4 linked regions of the Macaca fascicularis genome follow. The protein of the gene in region 2 interacts with the protein of the main gene of each other region in a pairwise test. Links are inferred from orthologs where the notes say so. Each region holds a gene or a part of one and is shown on either strand. Other genes may lie near its edges.

What was found.
Region 1: the proteins of NTAQ1 (region 2) and NUDT14 interact in binary tests that used the Homo sapiens proteins (3 or more experiments, as listed by UniProt). The two-hybrid records come from large-scale screens. The link is inferred for Macaca fascicularis from reciprocal best matches to the Homo sapiens genes NTAQ1 and NUDT14.
Region 3: the proteins of NTAQ1 (region 2) and GMDS interact in binary tests that used the Homo sapiens proteins (3 or more experiments, as listed by UniProt). The two-hybrid records come from large-scale screens. The link is inferred for Macaca fascicularis from reciprocal best matches to the Homo sapiens genes NTAQ1 and GMDS.
Region 4: the proteins of NTAQ1 (region 2) and CAPN3 interact in binary tests that used the Homo sapiens proteins (3 or more experiments, as listed by UniProt). The two-hybrid records come from large-scale screens. The link is inferred for Macaca fascicularis from reciprocal best matches to the Homo sapiens genes NTAQ1 and CAPN3.

What each region holds. Positions count from the first base shown.
Region 1 is NC_088381.1:173,357,508-173,361,803, reverse strand, and holds the start of NUDT14 (uridine diphosphate glucose pyrophosphatase NUDT14), read left to right. Parts: upstream 1-1,468; 5' UTR 1,469-1,555; coding exon 1,556-1,636; intron 1,637-4,296. UniProt on the Homo sapiens protein: Hydrolyzes UDP-glucose to glucose 1-phosphate and UMP and ADP-ribose to ribose 5-phosphate and AMP. The physiological substrate is probably UDP-glucose. Poor activity on other substrates such as ADP-glucose, CDP-glucose, GDP-glucose and GDP-mannose.
Region 2 is NC_088382.1:133,082,910-133,086,360, reverse strand, and holds the end of NTAQ1 (protein N-terminal glutamine amidohydrolase), read right to left. Parts: intron 1,249-3,451; coding exon 1,139-1,248; 3' UTR 534-1,138; downstream 1-533. UniProt on the Homo sapiens protein: Mediates the side-chain deamidation of N-terminal glutamine residues to glutamate, an important step in N-end rule pathway of protein degradation.
Region 3 is NC_088378.1:170,795,973-170,800,209, reverse strand, and holds the start of GMDS (GDP-mannose 4,6 dehydratase), read right to left. Parts: upstream 2,829-4,237; 5' UTR 2,665-2,828; coding exon 2,563-2,664; intron 1-2,562. UniProt on the Homo sapiens protein: Catalyzes the conversion of GDP-D-mannose to GDP-4-dehydro-6-deoxy-D-mannose.
Region 4 is NC_088381.1:18,956,344-18,960,612, reverse strand, and holds the start of CAPN3 (calpain-3), read right to left. Parts: upstream 2,829-4,269; 5' UTR 2,525-2,828; coding exon 2,216-2,524; intron 1-2,215. UniProt on the Homo sapiens protein: Calcium-regulated non-lysosomal thiol-protease. Proteolytically cleaves CTBP1 at 'His-409'. Mediates, with UTP25, the proteasome-independent degradation of p53/TP53.

The DNA.
Region 1 (4,296 bases), on a different chromosome or scaffold from region 2:
CTCTGGCTTCTGGGACACCAGGAGGAATGGCTAAAGCGGGGAGACACAGGCCCCTGTAGAGCTACTGGGGCGGTGACAGCTGGACTTGGATGCTGGCTTCATGACCGTGTTCCCCAGCGTTCCCACCTGGTGATACCCCTTCCCTGGAATCTGCGGGTGGCCCAGGACTTTCTGACCCACAGGATGCAGTAGGAATGACACCATATGACATCTGAGGCCAGGTCACACAAAGCCTGGCAGCTTGGCCTGGCCTAGTGAACGTGCTCTGGAAGGAGCCAGCTGCTACCGGAGAATCCGACTACCCTGAGACCACCAGGCTTCGGGGAAGCCCACACCAGCCACAAGGGAGGCCAGCTGGCCCTGGCTGTTCCAGCCACCCAACTGGGGGCCAGGGGTGAAGAGGCCATCCTGGACGGTCCACCCCGTTTGGCCTTCGGACGACTCCAGCCCCAGCTGCCACCTGATTACAACTGCAGAGAGACCCCAAGGCAGGGCTGCCTGGCTGAGCTGGGCGATCCATAGGCCAGGCAATAAAGGGGCACTTTAAGGCATTAAGCTTTGGAGTGTTTCGTTACACAGCAATAGTGAACAAGGATCTGGGAGTCTATTTCAAGCCCACATGGCCAGTCCACCCTGAGCCTGTTCCCCTGGGCCATAGTTCAGAAAGCAGGTGCAGGTCAGGGTTCAGGGCCAGTGTGGGCCTTAGCTCCCTTGCCTCAATATTGTTTCCAGCCCCTGTGGAGGCAGTGGTGGCATTTGGAGGGGGTCCTTGGAATCCATGCCCAAGGAAGAACTGCAGCTGCCTGGGACCCTTCCACACCCAGGAAGGACCGTCATCAAGGTAGAACTTGCAGGAGGAGGGAAGGGCAGCTGGCTTTTGAGTGGAGGAGGGACAGCTGCAGAGACAGCGTGGCAGCTCCCAGCCACCCTGGACACCAGCAACCTCGAGGGGAAGCCCCCTTGGCCCAAGCTTTGGCCCCTCCCGCGCCCCACTCTCCTCTCCCCTGGCTTCTTTCCAGGGCCCTCTCTCTGGCCTCCCGTGACTCTCTTCCTGGGCCCAGTCCCTCCCTCCCTGGGGCGCTGCTCCGCCCCCGGCCCCGCCCGCGGACCCCTGGAGTAACTTAATCTCAGGGTTGTGGTTCATCCCCAGAGGTACCCCAAACGGGCAGGCTCTTGGCTCCAACCACCTCCAGGCCCTCCCTCCCCCAGCCAAGAGGTCCTGAGTCCCACCCAAGCACTGTACCCCGGTCCGGCTGGCCCCGCCCGGCGGCCGGGGTCGACCCAGCCAGTCCTTCCTCTGCGCGACGCCCACGTGCCTGCGCGGCTCCCCTGGCACCGCGGAGACCGGCGCCCCCAGGCGCGCAGCACCCGACAGGTGGCACCTGCGAGCCCCGCCCACCTCGGCCGCCCCGCCCCGCCCCGCCCCGCCCCGCGCACCCACGGAGCATGCTCAGAGCCGCCGTCACGCGCCCGCCCGAAAGCTCCCGTCCTGCCAGGGCGCTGCCCCGGGTTGGTCCCCACTGCGGTCGGGACCCCCGCCTGTCCTGGCGCCGCCATGGACCGCATCGAGGGAGCGTCCGTGGGCCGCTGCGCCGCCTCACCCTACCTGCGGCCGCTCACGCTGCATTACCGCCAGGTGAGCCCGCGTCCCCGCGCCCTCCGCGTCCCCCGCGTCCCCGCCGGCGGCCCAGCCCACGACCCGCGTCCCGCCCACCGCCTTCTGCGCTGCGGGCCCCGCCCCGGAGCCCCGCCCCCGACTCCCGCCGAGCTCCGGGTCGGCCCCTTCTCCGCCCGCCGGATCGCGGGTTCCCCGACCCAGTGAGCCCCCAGGCCGGGGAGGGGCCGCAGGAGGGACATCTGAGGGGACACCACTCATCCTTTCAAGGAAGCATTGCTGGGCCCTATCCTTCCCGTCCCCGGAATCCGACCCTTTTGACAGTGGGACTCCTTGGTTGCCCTGGGGATCAGGGAAGGCTTCCTGGAAATGGTGGCTTTCATGCTGCAACTTGAAGGAGGAGATAGCTGGGCCGAGGAGGAAGGAGCAAGGAGTGCAGAGGGTGGAAGCAGGGAGGTAGGAGAAGGAGCTGAGTGAGAATTTGAGCGAGTCTCAAAGTGGGCTTCCTCCTTGGGGTTTTTTCCAGGGAGGGCACCTCCTTGGAGTCTCCATCTGCCTAAGCTCAGCCTTCCCCACCTCCTAGGGTGTCACATTCTCCCATGCCAGGCCCCGACACGAGGGGCTGTGTTGCCTCACTTGGCACCAGGCACATGGTAGGTTCACAAGGAATATTTTGTTTTGTTTTGTTTTTGAGACAGGGTCTTGCTCTGTTTCCCAGGCTGGAGTGCAGTGGCATGATCACAGCTCACTGTAGCCTCAACCTCCTGGGCTCAAGCGATCCTCCTGCCTCAGCCCCTGCCCCGGTAGCTGGGACCACAGGTGCACACCACCACACCCGGCTGATTTTTAAATTTTTTTGTAGAGACGAGGTCTCACTGCTGCCCAAGCTGGTCTTGAACTCCTGGCCTCGAACTCTTGGCCTCTGAAAGCATGGGGATTACAGGCATGAGGCATATGTGTTGGGTGAAGGAGCTACTGCCATCCTCTTCCCACATCCAGTGGATCACTGAGTCCCAGCCTGTCTTCCTCTAAGCCCAGCCCTGTCCGGTTTGGGCCCCACCTTTTGCTTGCATGCCTGCCTGCCCCCAGCAGATCTCCCCTCTGCCAGAGCTCCTGCATGCCATTTAGGCAAAGACTACCTTCCTGGCCACAGTCAGTCCAGCGCCCCCAGCCTCTCTCATCAGGTCAGGTGGTCCAGGTCGCCGTGCCCCTCTGCTTGCGTGCCTCCCTCAGGGGGCATCCTGTCCCCCCCATCACATCCAGGATGCTGCCCCTCACCATCCTTGTGAAGCCCTCTTAGCCCCCAGCCTGAGAGAGGCCCTGTGCCCCTCACTTTCCCTGTGGCGGGAGTCCTGTTGGCTCTCCCCAAGGCAAAGCTAAGCTGGTGGTGCTGGCGGGGGGCAGCTGGGATCAGTCGAGGTACAGCAGGTGGGGGCATGGGGTCACTGCCCTTTTCCCTGATGGCCACATGGGATGCCTGCTTGTGGCTGCACAGTCCCCACAGGGCTGGGCCTCAGGCAGCAGGTACAGGGCAGCCCAGGCAGGTGCCCTCTGTGGCCCTGGTGGCAGCACTCTCTCCCTCACTTCCAGTGAAGCGCTCAGGGCAGCCCTCGCAGCCTCAGCGTGCAGCCCACTGGCACAGCTCTGCTGAGGGGCTCTGGTAACCAGAGCTGAGCTGGTGTGGGCCGTGGCTGTGGTGGACACGGATGCAGGCTCAGGCCGGGCGGCGTCTTCTCAGGGCCAAGGGACATTGGGTTGGACCTTGGCCGCCACCCAGGGACAGCTGCAGCCCTCAGCGTTTTGCTGCATCCAGCCAGGGGAGGCCTGTGATGTCAGGCAGACCAAAGGCGGGGGACCCCCATGGCTCTGAGGTGATGGGGCTTTGTTTGCACCCAGACCTGCCCCTCTTTCCCAGGCCTCAGTGGCCTCCCTGAACCTTCCTGCACCTTGACCTGGCTGGACCTAAGGGTCTGACACACTTTTGACCTTGAGCTGAGAGGGTCCTTGAGACCTGCATGGGGTGATGTTACTCAGGGGGAAGCAGTGGTGGGGAGGGGGCATGGGCATAGCAGGCACATGGCAGGCTGTGGGCGGGGGGCTTCCCTGAAGCCTGCCCTGGCTGGGTGGCTGGCTCTGGGGTGGCTGGATGTCAGGCAGGCCTGGGCTCGCCTCCCGGGAGTGGTACCCCACGGCCTCTTGGGCATCCTGACCTGCGCGGGACACTGGCCCTCCCTTCCCTTGGAAATGGGCACTCTCCTCCCAGGACGCCTTTGCCTGCCAGCCAAGCTGAGGGCCTCTGTGCCTCTGCCTGCCCAGAATCCCTTCCCTCACTTCCGTCACCTCTTCCAGGAAGTCCTCAGGAAGGCTTCTTCCCTCTTCTGCAGTCCTGGCTGCACTTCCTGTGTCTCTGCCACTCAGGCTCTGTCCATTTCACAGCCTGGGCGGAGCCCCCAGGGTGGGGTGAGCAGCTCACCTGGGCCTCGGAGTGGCAGATGGGCTGAGCTCGCCGGAGATGGGACCCCGTGGGACCCCAGGCCCAGCCCCCAGGATGGGAGTGCATCTCAGAATCCGTCAGTTCCAGCCTCCCCCAGCAGGCCCAGCCCACACACCTGCCCACCCAGGGTGCAGGGGCCTGCCAGGGCGGCGTGCCCAGCGTGTGGAGGGGGAAGGTGGAGGGTGGC
Region 2 (3,451 bases):
ACATGATCTCAGCTCACTGCAACTTCCACCTCCCAGGTTCAAGCAATTCTGCCTCAGTCTCCCAAGTAGCTGGGATTATAGGCGCCCACCACCACACCCAGCTAATTTTTGTATTTTTAGTACAGCCAAGGTTTCACCATGTTGGCCAAGCTGGTCTCAAACTCCTAACCTCATGATCCACCTGCCTCGGTCTCCCAAAGTACTGAGATTACACGCATGAGCCACCATGCCCAGCTGACAGTTTCTTAATAAGTAGAAAGCTCATCTAAGAACAAAAGGTCAGATATCCTTGCTATAAGAAGTTGTTCATTTTTAAAGCAGAATCATGAAAACATGAGAGCTGATACTATATGTCAGTGTAATGCCAAATATCTTTCATTTGGAATGATACGATTAAAGCCACATGATCAAGATGTCTTCCAGAAGGCACATGTAATAAATATATTTTAAAGCCCTGGTTCTCATCTACAATTGAGGCATATTTAGGTATTTCAGATCATCAAGGGTGACACAAAAATCTTCAAAACAAAACAAATGTTAAATCAATTTTATTTAAAGCCATAAATAAATAAACCAAGTAACACTCAAATCTGAGAGGGCTGCAAACTTTTTAACAATACCATAGTCCAAAAAGACTAATACTTATTGCTGATTCAGCTCACAATATTACCCCTTTCCAAACAACAGCACATTGAAATGTTCAAGAAAACATTTTATGGGCACCTTTTATGGGCATTTGAGATTCACAGAGCAATGGGCCATGGCCCTGCCCTCAAGGAGCTTACAGTGTAGCTGGAAAGACACAAAACATCCAGAACAGACATGAGGGGCTGGCTCTACCTCCACACCTCTATCTGAACAAAAACGATTACTGGCTTAAGTCCTCGTGTTTTAACAAATGAGCCACAGGAATATCTTAGCAAGTACACACTATATCAAGTTTCAATTTGACATGTCAAAACAAAAGTTTTTATGTTGTTCATTTATATTTGTATTCACTCAGATTTCCACTCAATCAAATTAAAAGAGAAAGACATAATTCCAAGCCAACTGTACCATAATGTTTGCTGTCCTCGATGAAGGGATAGCTTGTTCATGTCCTAGAATTTCTCCACAGTTCCACATCTTGAGGCCAAGTTTAACCGTTTTTACTGCCAAACCGATGTGTAAATTCGGATAGTGTGTAGACAGCGCCCCATCCTACCTCGGGATCCATACTGATGAAATCGTTCAGGTTCATTTTGGAATCTAAAAAAAAATATGAAAAAAAAATGTCCACTGAAAACACAATTTTGGTTTAACAGCAATAAAACAACGCAGAAGACCAAAAGTAGGTAAAATTAGTCAAATGGATAAGGGCTCAATGTCACCTCTGTGGTTTTCTTGCCTGGAATGTATAACTTCAATCCAATCATGACAAAACAAACACACCCAAACTGAGGGAAACAGAATGTCAGTGAAGAGGGGACGACACAGAGAGTCAGAGCTCCAGAGATCAGCAGAGGGGACCCCCTGGGTCTTTGGCTAAGTACTGATCTTCTCTTTCATGGAACGAAACTGCATGAGGCCAGGGAAAGCAGCACCAGGAAGGAGTGGGTCTAATAATCCCCAGAACTTCCACAGGGCTAGAAATAATTCATGTCACCACCAGCCAGAGTGGAGAGAACTCTTAAGATGCGGCATTCAGTGGCATCCTCAAAAGGGTCATGTCAGAGTAGGGGGGCTAAATTAGCCCTCGATGAAAGGCTGCTCTGAGCCGAGCACGGTGGCTCACACCTGTAATCCCAGCACTTTGGGAGGCCGAGGTGGGCAGATCACTTGAGGTCAGAAGTTAGAGAACAGCCTGGTCAACATGGTGAAACCCCATTCTCTACTAAAAATACAAAAATTAGCGGGGTATGGTGGCACGCCTCTCTAATCCCAGCTACTTGGGAGGCTGAGACAGAATTGCTTGTACCTGGGAGTTGGAGGGTGTAATGAGCCAAGATCATGCCACTTCACTCCAGCCTGGGCAACAAAGCAAGGCTTTGTCTCAAAAAAAAAAAAAAAAAAGAAAGAAAGCCTACTGTGAACCTTTACTCAAAAAGATTAAAAGCAGCCAGGCTTGGTGGCTCACACTTATAATCTCAGCACTATGGGAAGATGAGAAAGGTGGATCACTTGAGGTCACGAGTTCAAGACCAGCCTGGCCAACGTGGTGAAATCCCATCTCTACTAACAGTACAAAATTTAGCCAGGTGTAGTAGTGGGTGCCTATAATCTGAGCTACTTGGGAGGCTGAGGCAGGAGAATTGCTTGAACCCAGGAGGGAGAGGTTGTAGTGAGCCAAGATCGCGCCACTGCACTCCAGCCTGGGCAACAGAGCGAGACTCTGTCTCAAAAAAAAAAAAAGGAGTTAATCCTGGCCAGCATGGTGGCTCATGCCTGTAATCTCAGTATTTTGGGAGGCCAAGCTAGGAGCAATATACTGAGACCCTATCTTGATTTAAAAAAAAAAAAAAAAAAGAGTCAATTCCATAACTAAATCCAACATACCTAATAATGCATGTATCTAAAACATGCATTAATTTAATGTCGGTTTTCTTTTTTTTTTTTGAGACAGAGTCTCCCTCTGTCACCCAGGCTAGAGTGCAGTGGTGCCATCTCGGCTCATTGCAACCTCCACCTCCCAGATTCAAGCGATTATCCTGCCTCAGCCTCCTGCGTAGCTGGAATTACAGGTGTGCACCACCACGCCTGGCTAATTTTTAGTTAGTTAATGTGGGCTGGACACAGTGGCTCACCTCTATAATCCCAGCACTTTGGGAGGCCAAAGCGGAAGGATTACCTGAGGCCAGGAGTTCAAGACCAGCCTGGCTCACATGGCAAAACCTCATGTCTACTAAAAACATAAAAACTAGCCAGATGAGGCTGGGCGGGGTGGCTCATGCCTATAATCCCAACAGTTTGGGAGGCCGAGGCGGGCGGATCACAAGGTCAGGAGATGGAGACCATCCTGGCTAACATGGTGAAACCACGTCTCTACTAAAAATGCAACCAAAAAACAATTAGCTGGGCGTGGTGGCGGGCGCCTATAGTCCCAGCTACTCAGGAGCCTGAGGCAGGAGAATGGCATGAACCCGGGAGGTGGAGCTTGCAGTGAGCAGAGATCACACCACTGCACTCTGTTGCCTGGGCGACAGAGTGAGACTCCGGCTCAAAAAAATAAATAAATAAATAAATAAATAAAACTAGCCAGGTGTGATGCTGCATGCCTGTAATCCCAGCTAATCCGGAGGCTGAGGCATGAAAATTGCTTGAACTCAGGAGGTGGAGGTTGCAGTGAGCTGGGATCATGCCACTGCACTCCAGCCTGGGTGACAGAGTCAAGGGAGGGAGGCAGGGAGGGAGGCAGGGAGGAAGGAAGGAAGAAAATTGGGCTGGCAGTGCTCACCTCAGCAGCCCATATAGT
Region 3 (4,237 bases), on a different chromosome or scaffold from region 2:
TGGGTTCAGATCTCAGTTCTGACACTTAACCTTACTTAGCCAGGAATAAAATGGGAATAATTATTATACCTGCCCCTTAGGTAGGGATATACAAAATGCTTAGCAGAGTGAATAGCCCAGTAAGTTCTCAGTCAGTATTATTAAGAAAACGTACAATAAAGTATGGATTTTCAGACCCCTTGCATTAACACCACAGTGCTCCAGAGATCCTTGATACTCAAGTTGGGAGTCACTGTCCTGGAATACAAATAAAAAACATAGAAGAGCAGTCCATTCCCTCTGCAAGTGTTTATGTGGTAGCTACAGAATTCAGCACTATGCTAGGGGTACATACGCCAGTGCAACACCAAATGAGGTGACAATGCAGAGGGCAAATGCTGTAGGGAAGAAAAAAACACTGGGGCAGAGATTCAAACCAGCCTGAAAGCCACGCAGGTGTTTTAAGTTGGAAATGAAATGAGGAACCAAAAAATTCTGGTCAGGGAGTGGTCTGCTGAGTGTGGTGCTTCAGGTAGACTCACATGACAGGCTGCAGGACAAACTAGAGTGGGGGTCCACCTCCACACCTTCCTGGCCACTCAGTTCCATCCAAATGACTGCTCTTAAAAGTCAAAATCAGGTTCCATTTCTAATCTGCACTGATTCATACTGCTGGTCACGTAAATTGGTATAGGCCACACCAACACAGCACATTAACATCTTAACTAATTTCCTGACAATACTAAAATCAAATCTCTACTTTCCAGAGATTATATAAACTTGGTAAACATTTGAGCTTCAGGTCCAGTCTGACAAAACGGAATAAAAAGGGATTCATCTGCAGAAAGGTCCCAGCATTAGAAAACAAAGAGAAGGGGGAGGACAGTATGTAGGCCCTGACCTTTCTTACTGCCTCAATTCAAGTATTCAATTTCTCAACCTCAGATCCTTGCCCTCTTCCTCAAACTCAGATCCACCTCTTACTAGTTTTCAAACTCTTGTCTATTATGATTACCTTAAGCAAAGCAAGATGCATGAATAACCAGCAGTAAATCAGGTATTCAATAGTTGAAATTGTGTAATATTCTGTGACTGTGCATCTGGCCAATTTCAACTTCTCCTTCTCTCTAATTTTTTGTTTCTTTTTTTGAGGCAGGATCTCACTCTCTTGCCCCAGACTGAAGTACAGTGGTGCCATCACTGCTCACTGCAGCCTCAAACTCCTGGACTCAAGTGATCCTCCTGCTTCGGCCTCCCAGTAGCAAGCACTACAAATGAGCACCAACATGCCTGCCTAATTTTTTTTTTTTTTTTTGTAGCGATAAGGTCTCAATATGTTGCCCAGGCTGGTCTCAAACTCCTGGCCTCACCTCAAGCAATCCTCCCGCCTCTGCCTACCGAAGTGCTGAGATTTCAGTTATGAACCGCTGCCTCCTGCCCACTTAGCCTTTTCTAACACTAGAGAACTTTCAGAGTGGTTTCAATACCAACTGGACACTTCCCAGCGATTTAACCTCAGGCCAATCAAACTCCCATGCCTCCGTTTCCACAGAGAGATAATAAAAGTACCTCCTCAAAGAGTTTGTTATGAGAACTAAATGAGTTAGTATTAGTCAAGCGACTGGAACATAATAGACACAATATGTATCAGCCATTTTCATCTTTATTTGTGTTATATGGCCACCACCCAGAGATACCCAGGAGCACATATATCACATTCTTTCTACAGCAATATGTGGGCATGACTACTTCATGACCACTGAATCTCAAACAGCACAGCTTTTAATAAAGCACAGTGGTCGGATCCTACCTATTGCAACACCTCTGAGACGACTCTCACAAACCAGCCATGCCTAGCCTGAGACATTCCGAAGACCTCCTCCTGATGACCTTACTCGAGGAACTTATTCCTCTGGAAATGGAACCTAGCCTCACTTTTGGACCAGTGTGTCTCAGATACACGTCCAAACGTGTGAACCTGAATCCCAGAAGTTGGTGTGATTTTTAAAAGTTTTTCAAGTTCTTTTTCCTAAACATGTCCTAGTGGGTGACTCCACAGCATCACTTTCTTTCATGTTCTCTTTTCTATCTGGAAAGCCGGTGATAGGCGACGAAACCAGCAAAGCACCCTTTTTCCTGCTTCCCAAACATTAGCAGGTAAGCGCCCCGTGAGCCGAGATACATCAGGAGGACCTCACCCGCAAGTCATTGATCACCAGTTCTTTTCCCCTCCCGGCACCAGCAGCTGCGAAGCACGAAATGGGCTTGGAGGAAGAGACGCTGCGGTCACCTGAGGGGCAGGTGCGAGCGGGCGGTCCTGCCCGGGTGTGAGGGCGACATCCCGCGCGGCACACACGCTCACAGCCCCCAGAGGAAGACCAGAGGCACTCGAAGCATCCAGCACACCCCACACACGACATACTCACGGCACCGCACCTTCCGTCCCACCTCCCGGCAGCAGACCCCTTCCGGGACGCCGAGACGGCTGTTCCTGGAGACGCCGCAGCCCGCGAGGAGCGGCGCGCAGGGAGAGCACGCGTGCCCAGGCGGCCTCGGCCGGCGCGCCCCCGCCCCCACACTCACCTGGCCCGTGATGCCGGTGATGAGCGCCACGTTCCTGGGCTTGCCCATCTCGCCGTCCCCGGAGCCCCGGGCGCTGGAGCAGCGTGCCGGTGCGTGTGCCATGTCCCGCGGCGGGCGTGCGGTCGGCGGCAGGGCGGAGCGCGGCAGAGGGCAGGCGCGGCGCCGGCAGGAACGCGGGTGTGTGCGGCGCGAAGCGCCTCTCTGGCTGCGGGCGGGGAGGGAGAGCGCACCGCGCGACCGGCCGCCACAGTCTGACAGGGGCGCACGGGAGGCCGCGCGGGGAGGGCCGGGGGCGGGCCGAGCCGGCCGAGGCGGGCCAGACGGCCAAGCAGCGGGGCTGCGGCCTGACTGGCGCCGCGTCATTCGCGTCAACCGGCGACGCTGGGGCAGGCCCCGCCCCTCCGCTGACGGCCGCCGCGCGGGGCGGGGCCTGCCGCCGCCGCCGCCTGAGGGAAGAGGAAGAAGGCAGCGGCTTCGCGTCCCGCCTCTCGCCTGGCTGGCCATGGGCGGCCTGGACGCGGTTCCCTTGTCCTCCCCGGCGGCCTCTCGAATCTCCCAGGAATCCTAATGTCACCCGAGGATGCTGGGAGGAACGCTGAGCCGACCTCTCCATTGGGCTAAAGGTCTGAATTTGCAAACCCTGGGGTCCCAGGGCCGGGATCATCGACTTTGATGACTCCTGGAAACCTGTCGCAGCGCCTTTGGGAAGCCTGGTTTATGGTACCTGAAGGGCGCTGGCGTTACAAGGCCCCGAAACGGGGGTTGCAGTTGTGGGGGTGACTAACGAGGCTGGCTCTTGCTCTTCTGGCGTTCCCTGAGGTCGGAACCAGGAACGAGGTTCCAAATAGCTGAATTCAACGTGTTCTGTTCTGGGGACTGGCAGTGCACAAGCAAGTCGCTGGCCCCACCCGTATGCAGCATAAGGAAATGTTGAAAAGACTGCCCGGGTCAATAAACCTGGACGTGGCAAATTTCAAAGAAAGTAATTCAAACACAGGTGGGGTCCTGGCTTATATCTATTGGATTTGGCTGCCATTTGGCAGCTGCTCGTTGGACAGGGAGAGACGAGGAGGTGACTCAGAGCCTGGAGGACAGCAGGTGTGTGTGCCTAAGCAGTTGGCTGCAATCCAGGGCACAGCCGGAAACTTCCCGGTCTCCGTTGCTCTGCTTCTCTGTCCTTACTCCTCCCCCTAATCGATAACCTCAGATCATCGTTTCAAATCAGAGTTACTAGGGCTGTGCCCATTATAACATGCAAGAGTATGTATAGCAGACCTGGAACCCCAAAATCAGAAAAGCTTAGGATTAATTTAAAACCTCCCTCTCCCGCTCCGCGAAGTCCGTTAGGAATATTTCTTAGCTTTGTAGATAGACGGTCTGGTTTCACACCCGGCCTCTCTGCGTTCTATGAGGAGAATGGCTGAACGAACATCTGGTGCGCCAGTAGGATGCTGCCTCGAGTGATGAAGGGACCCTGAAGCTGAGGAAAGGGAACGCTTCCATTGAGAGGAACATGCTATAAGCTAGAAATGTCTGTGAAATATACAGCAATATGCTACAACTATATTCGTTTTCATGTAAATAGGCTTTAAATTAATGCATGAACAAATTATTTAACATTTTCCTGAAAAAATCACTGAGCGGCCGGGCGCGGTGGCTCACACCTGTAATCCCA
Region 4 (4,269 bases), on a different chromosome or scaffold from region 2:
ATTTCACTGAAAATAGTATTTGTAGGTTTTAATTTTACCCATTCTGAGAAAGGGCTTTTATTTCTTTTTTTTATAGAGATAGGGTCTCACTATGTTGCCCAGGCTGGTCTCCAACTCCTGAGCTCAAGTGATGCTCCCACCTCTGCCTCCCAAAGTGCTGGGATTACAGGCATAAGCCACCACGTCTGGCACAAGAAAGGGTTTTTAAGAACTCCCTGCCTGGGAACGCAGGACTATCCTGTCTCACCGGTCAAGGCCCTCGGGCATGGGTTTTCATTCACCAGCATCAGCTGAGTACCCACTATGGGACTGGCCTGAACTTGGTGAGTGGGCCTCAAAGATGAACAGGAAGAGTCTCTGCTCTCAGTGAGAGGAAAACAGTCATGAGAAAGATTGAAGGAAGTGACACCTGAGCAGAGTTTCAGACAGGAACAAAAAGGGCATGCCAGGCAGACAGACAGCATGAGCAAAGGCCTCCGGTGTGAGAAGACTTGGAACCACAGAGCAGCTAAATGTCCAAGCACTGCTGGTGTGTCAGGATCTGCGAAAAGAGGATGGAGATGGGCCTGGATAGGTAGGCAGGGACCAGCTGAGAAGGGCCTATGGCTTGGCTAAGGAGTTTGGATTTGTCCTGAAGGCAGTGGGGGATTTGTCCTGAAGGCAGCCGAGAGAGGGATGTCACTGAAGATATTTCAGCAGGGGGTTATGACGTGTCCAACTACTCTGATAGCAGAGCAGTGTTATCTTCTAAACTGAAGGCCTGCAGGACAGTTATGGGCCTTACCATAGAACCAAGAAGAGCACCTATGGAATACATGGGGTTGTGGAGTATTCCACCTCAGGTTTGTTGTTGTTGTTGTTTGAGACTGGGTCTCAGTCCTGTCACCCAGCCTGGAGTGCAGTGGCGTGATCTCAGCTCACTGCTGCCTCGGACTTTGTGAGTTCAAGTGATCTTCCCACCTCAGCCTACAAGTAGGTAGGACCACAGGCATGTGCCACCGTGCCTGGATAATTTTTTGAATTTTTAGTACAAAAGAGATAGATTTTTGCCCTGTTGCCCAGGCTGGTCTCAAACTCTTGGGCTTAAGCAATCCTCCAGCCTGGGCCTCCCAAAATGCTGGGATTACAGGCGTGAGCCACCACGCCTGGCCCATCTTAGGTTAAAGAAAAACATGACTAATGAATAGTATCAGGTGTCAGGTTGCCATCGTTTCCTCAGGAAGGGTTTCTCTCCCTGGACCAGGTTAGCTCTCCTTGCCACATGATCCCGTGGCACCCAGAACATCGTCTCCTGACAACGTCACTCTTGTTCAACGCCCATCTTCTCTTCAGGACCCTAGGTTCCAAGACAGCTTGGATTTTGGTTTTTCTTACTCACTGCTGTCCCCCCAGTTGCTTGTCCAGTGCTGGCACTAGTAGATGCTCAATAAATATTTCTTGAATTAAGAACAAAAGTCACACTGGAGGGATGATCAGAGAGGCGAGCCAGGGGAATGTGATTTCCCTCCTGGTGATCACTATAAATGAAACCCAGAGGCTGGGAGAGTTTCCTAAAAGAGAAAGTTTTAATCCAGGCTCTGTCATGTGCCCACTGGATATATTTCGCTCTGGTGTGCCTTGACTCCTCGCTTATGAGGTGAGGTAGGTGGACAAAAACGATTGCTAGGTCTCTCTCTCTAACCCCAACATTTTATGCATGAAAAAATATTCCGTGCTTATGACTCTCTTCTTTCTAGGGTTGCTATGTTTCAGAAAGATATGGCCACTGGTAAATTAAAGAAGAATAACATCATGATTTTAGCCAGAGAAACTAAAGTGATCTTACAAAGATGAAAGGTATTTAAAATGAAAGGGTAGATCTGGGCTCTCTGGAATTTGTTCTGAGAAAGGAATATTTTTACAGGATGAATTAAACTGAGTTCCAACCACTTTTATAAAAAGCAAGATTTTTTTTTTTTTTTTCAGAGAGAAAGAGTCAGAGCATGAGAATCAGCCCCACCTCCCCCGCTCTCCCTCTGGATTTTGCTGAGATTTGGTGAAATATCTGAGACCTGTTCCTCTCCTCCCTGCTTCACACTTAAGGACAGAGCCCAGCAAAATTGCTGCCAGGATCCTTCCCCCATTGCCCATGTGCACAGCTGAGCTGCCGGAGGTGCTGAGTGGGAGGACTCCTCCGTGGGGGGAAAACCCAGCAAGTAAGCAGGAAGTTACTCACCGGAGGTCTCTTCCAGATGAACTGGATGGGGAACTTCTGGCTATAAAAGAGAGAGGTCTCATCCGGTGGGAACTCGGGGTCCACATAAAGAACTTTCTTTTCTAGACATTTCTTGTGAAGCTGCTCGAATGTCTTCTCTTTCACTCCGATAATAGGAAAATTGCGGCTGATGATGGCTGAATAGATGCCACTTGCGTTTCCACCCCCAGCCTCGGTGGCCTTGCTCTGAGCCGGGTGAGGAACTGGCCCTGGGGACCTTGGCTCAGCCGCTGTCCTTGGAGCCACAGATGCACTAATGACGGTCGGCATGGCAAGTGGCTTTGGAAGAAAAAGCTTTTTAAAGAAAACAAGATACAGCTACCTTCAAGGAAAGGAAGCAACTGCAAAGGGGAAGTTAGAGTAATTCTGTCATCTGAGAGAAAAGTGTCCACATCCAGTTCGAAGTTGAAAGCCCATCAGAAGGTCGTACAGGTTATGTCCATCTTAAAAACCGAGCTGTGATTCTGAAGCCATAAGTTCTCCTGAGAAATGAGTGCTAAAGGATTTCTGAAGCAATGTTGACCTGGGGTCTCCTACCAGCAGCATGCATGCCAGAGGGAGAGAGAAAGAGAGTGAGGGTTGTGTTTCAGTGGCCTGAAGATGCTTGAGCCAGAAAAACTAAAAATAGATGTGAAGAAACACTGTGAGTATGAGAGCAAGAGAGAGGAGAACCTGGCTAGGGACATCTCTGTTGCCATGAAGTGCTGGTGTTGTCAGAAAATGAAAAGGGAGTATCTGAGTAAGGTGAACACTGGAAAGAAGCTGAGAACTGCTGACATGTTATTGAGTAGGCAGTTATACAGACCACCCAACTACTGGCCAACAAATGAATGGAAAACAGTATTGCAAAAAAGCTAGTTAGGGTGAACGAGAGGTACTGAATTCTAGGAAAATATTCTGTGAATTTTAGAGAACATGATTTTTAGTCCTAAAATTTTAGGATATCAGAACATTATTCAATGTTAGATTTGGCATCTTTTCTAGAATGTTCTTGGGTCAGCGTTTATTGGAAATGTCTGCATGGAAAATGCTACTCAGCAGAGTCCTTGGTTGAGAAAATCCCTGCCTGTACCTGCAGACTTGACCTTGCCACCTCTTGTCTCTTCCCATCCCCAAAATAAACACTGGGACTGAATCTGCTATAAAAAGTGTACCTGCCGGGCGCGGGGGCTCACATCTGTAATCTCAGCACTTTGGGATGCCGAGGCGGGTGGATCACATGAGGTCAGGAGTTCGAGATCAGCCTGGCCAACAATAGTGAAACCAGTGAAAACACATAAATAAGACAGGCATGGTGGTGGGTGCCTGTAATCCCAGCTACTTGGGAGGCTGAGACAGAAGAATCGCTTGAACCCAGGAGGCAGAGGTTGGAGTGAACCCAGATTGCGCCACTGTACTCCAGCCTGGGTGACAGAACGAGACTCCATCTTAAAAAAAAAAAGTGCACCTGAGCACAGTAAATCCCCAGTGTCATCAATAGGTTCTAGTAAGCTTGTTTTGGTTAAAGTCACAGTTTACAAGAACCTATCAACGATGTTAAGTGAGGACTTACTGTATAGGTTACATGTTGACTCATTCAGCCATGCCACATTAGGCATCTGAGACAGAAGCTGGAACTGGATACTGAACCAGACTGCCTGTCAAGCCCTGGGATGTCACACCTGGTTTCAGGGCTCTTAGATGAGAGCATAAGTGGCTCTGGGGAAGGGAAGTGCCTGCCTGGCCTCCACCTTGTCTTCTACCCACAACAGCTGCTCCCTGGGCTGTAAGGAGATGACCACATTTCAAGTATGGCAGAGTGGAGGCATGTCCTAGGCTGTAGTCATGCCTGTTCCTATGCGACCAGTCTCAATAATCGAAGATTAGAGGCTATGGAAGAAGGTGGGAAGTGACAGGTAAAATAGGGAGTACTATCAGCCTCCTGATCCCTGGGATTGCGGCATTGAAGAACTCTTATGTCTGGGCTTGCAGGAACCATCAGCCTAGCCTTCTGTTCCTCCAGGAAAACGCCCAGG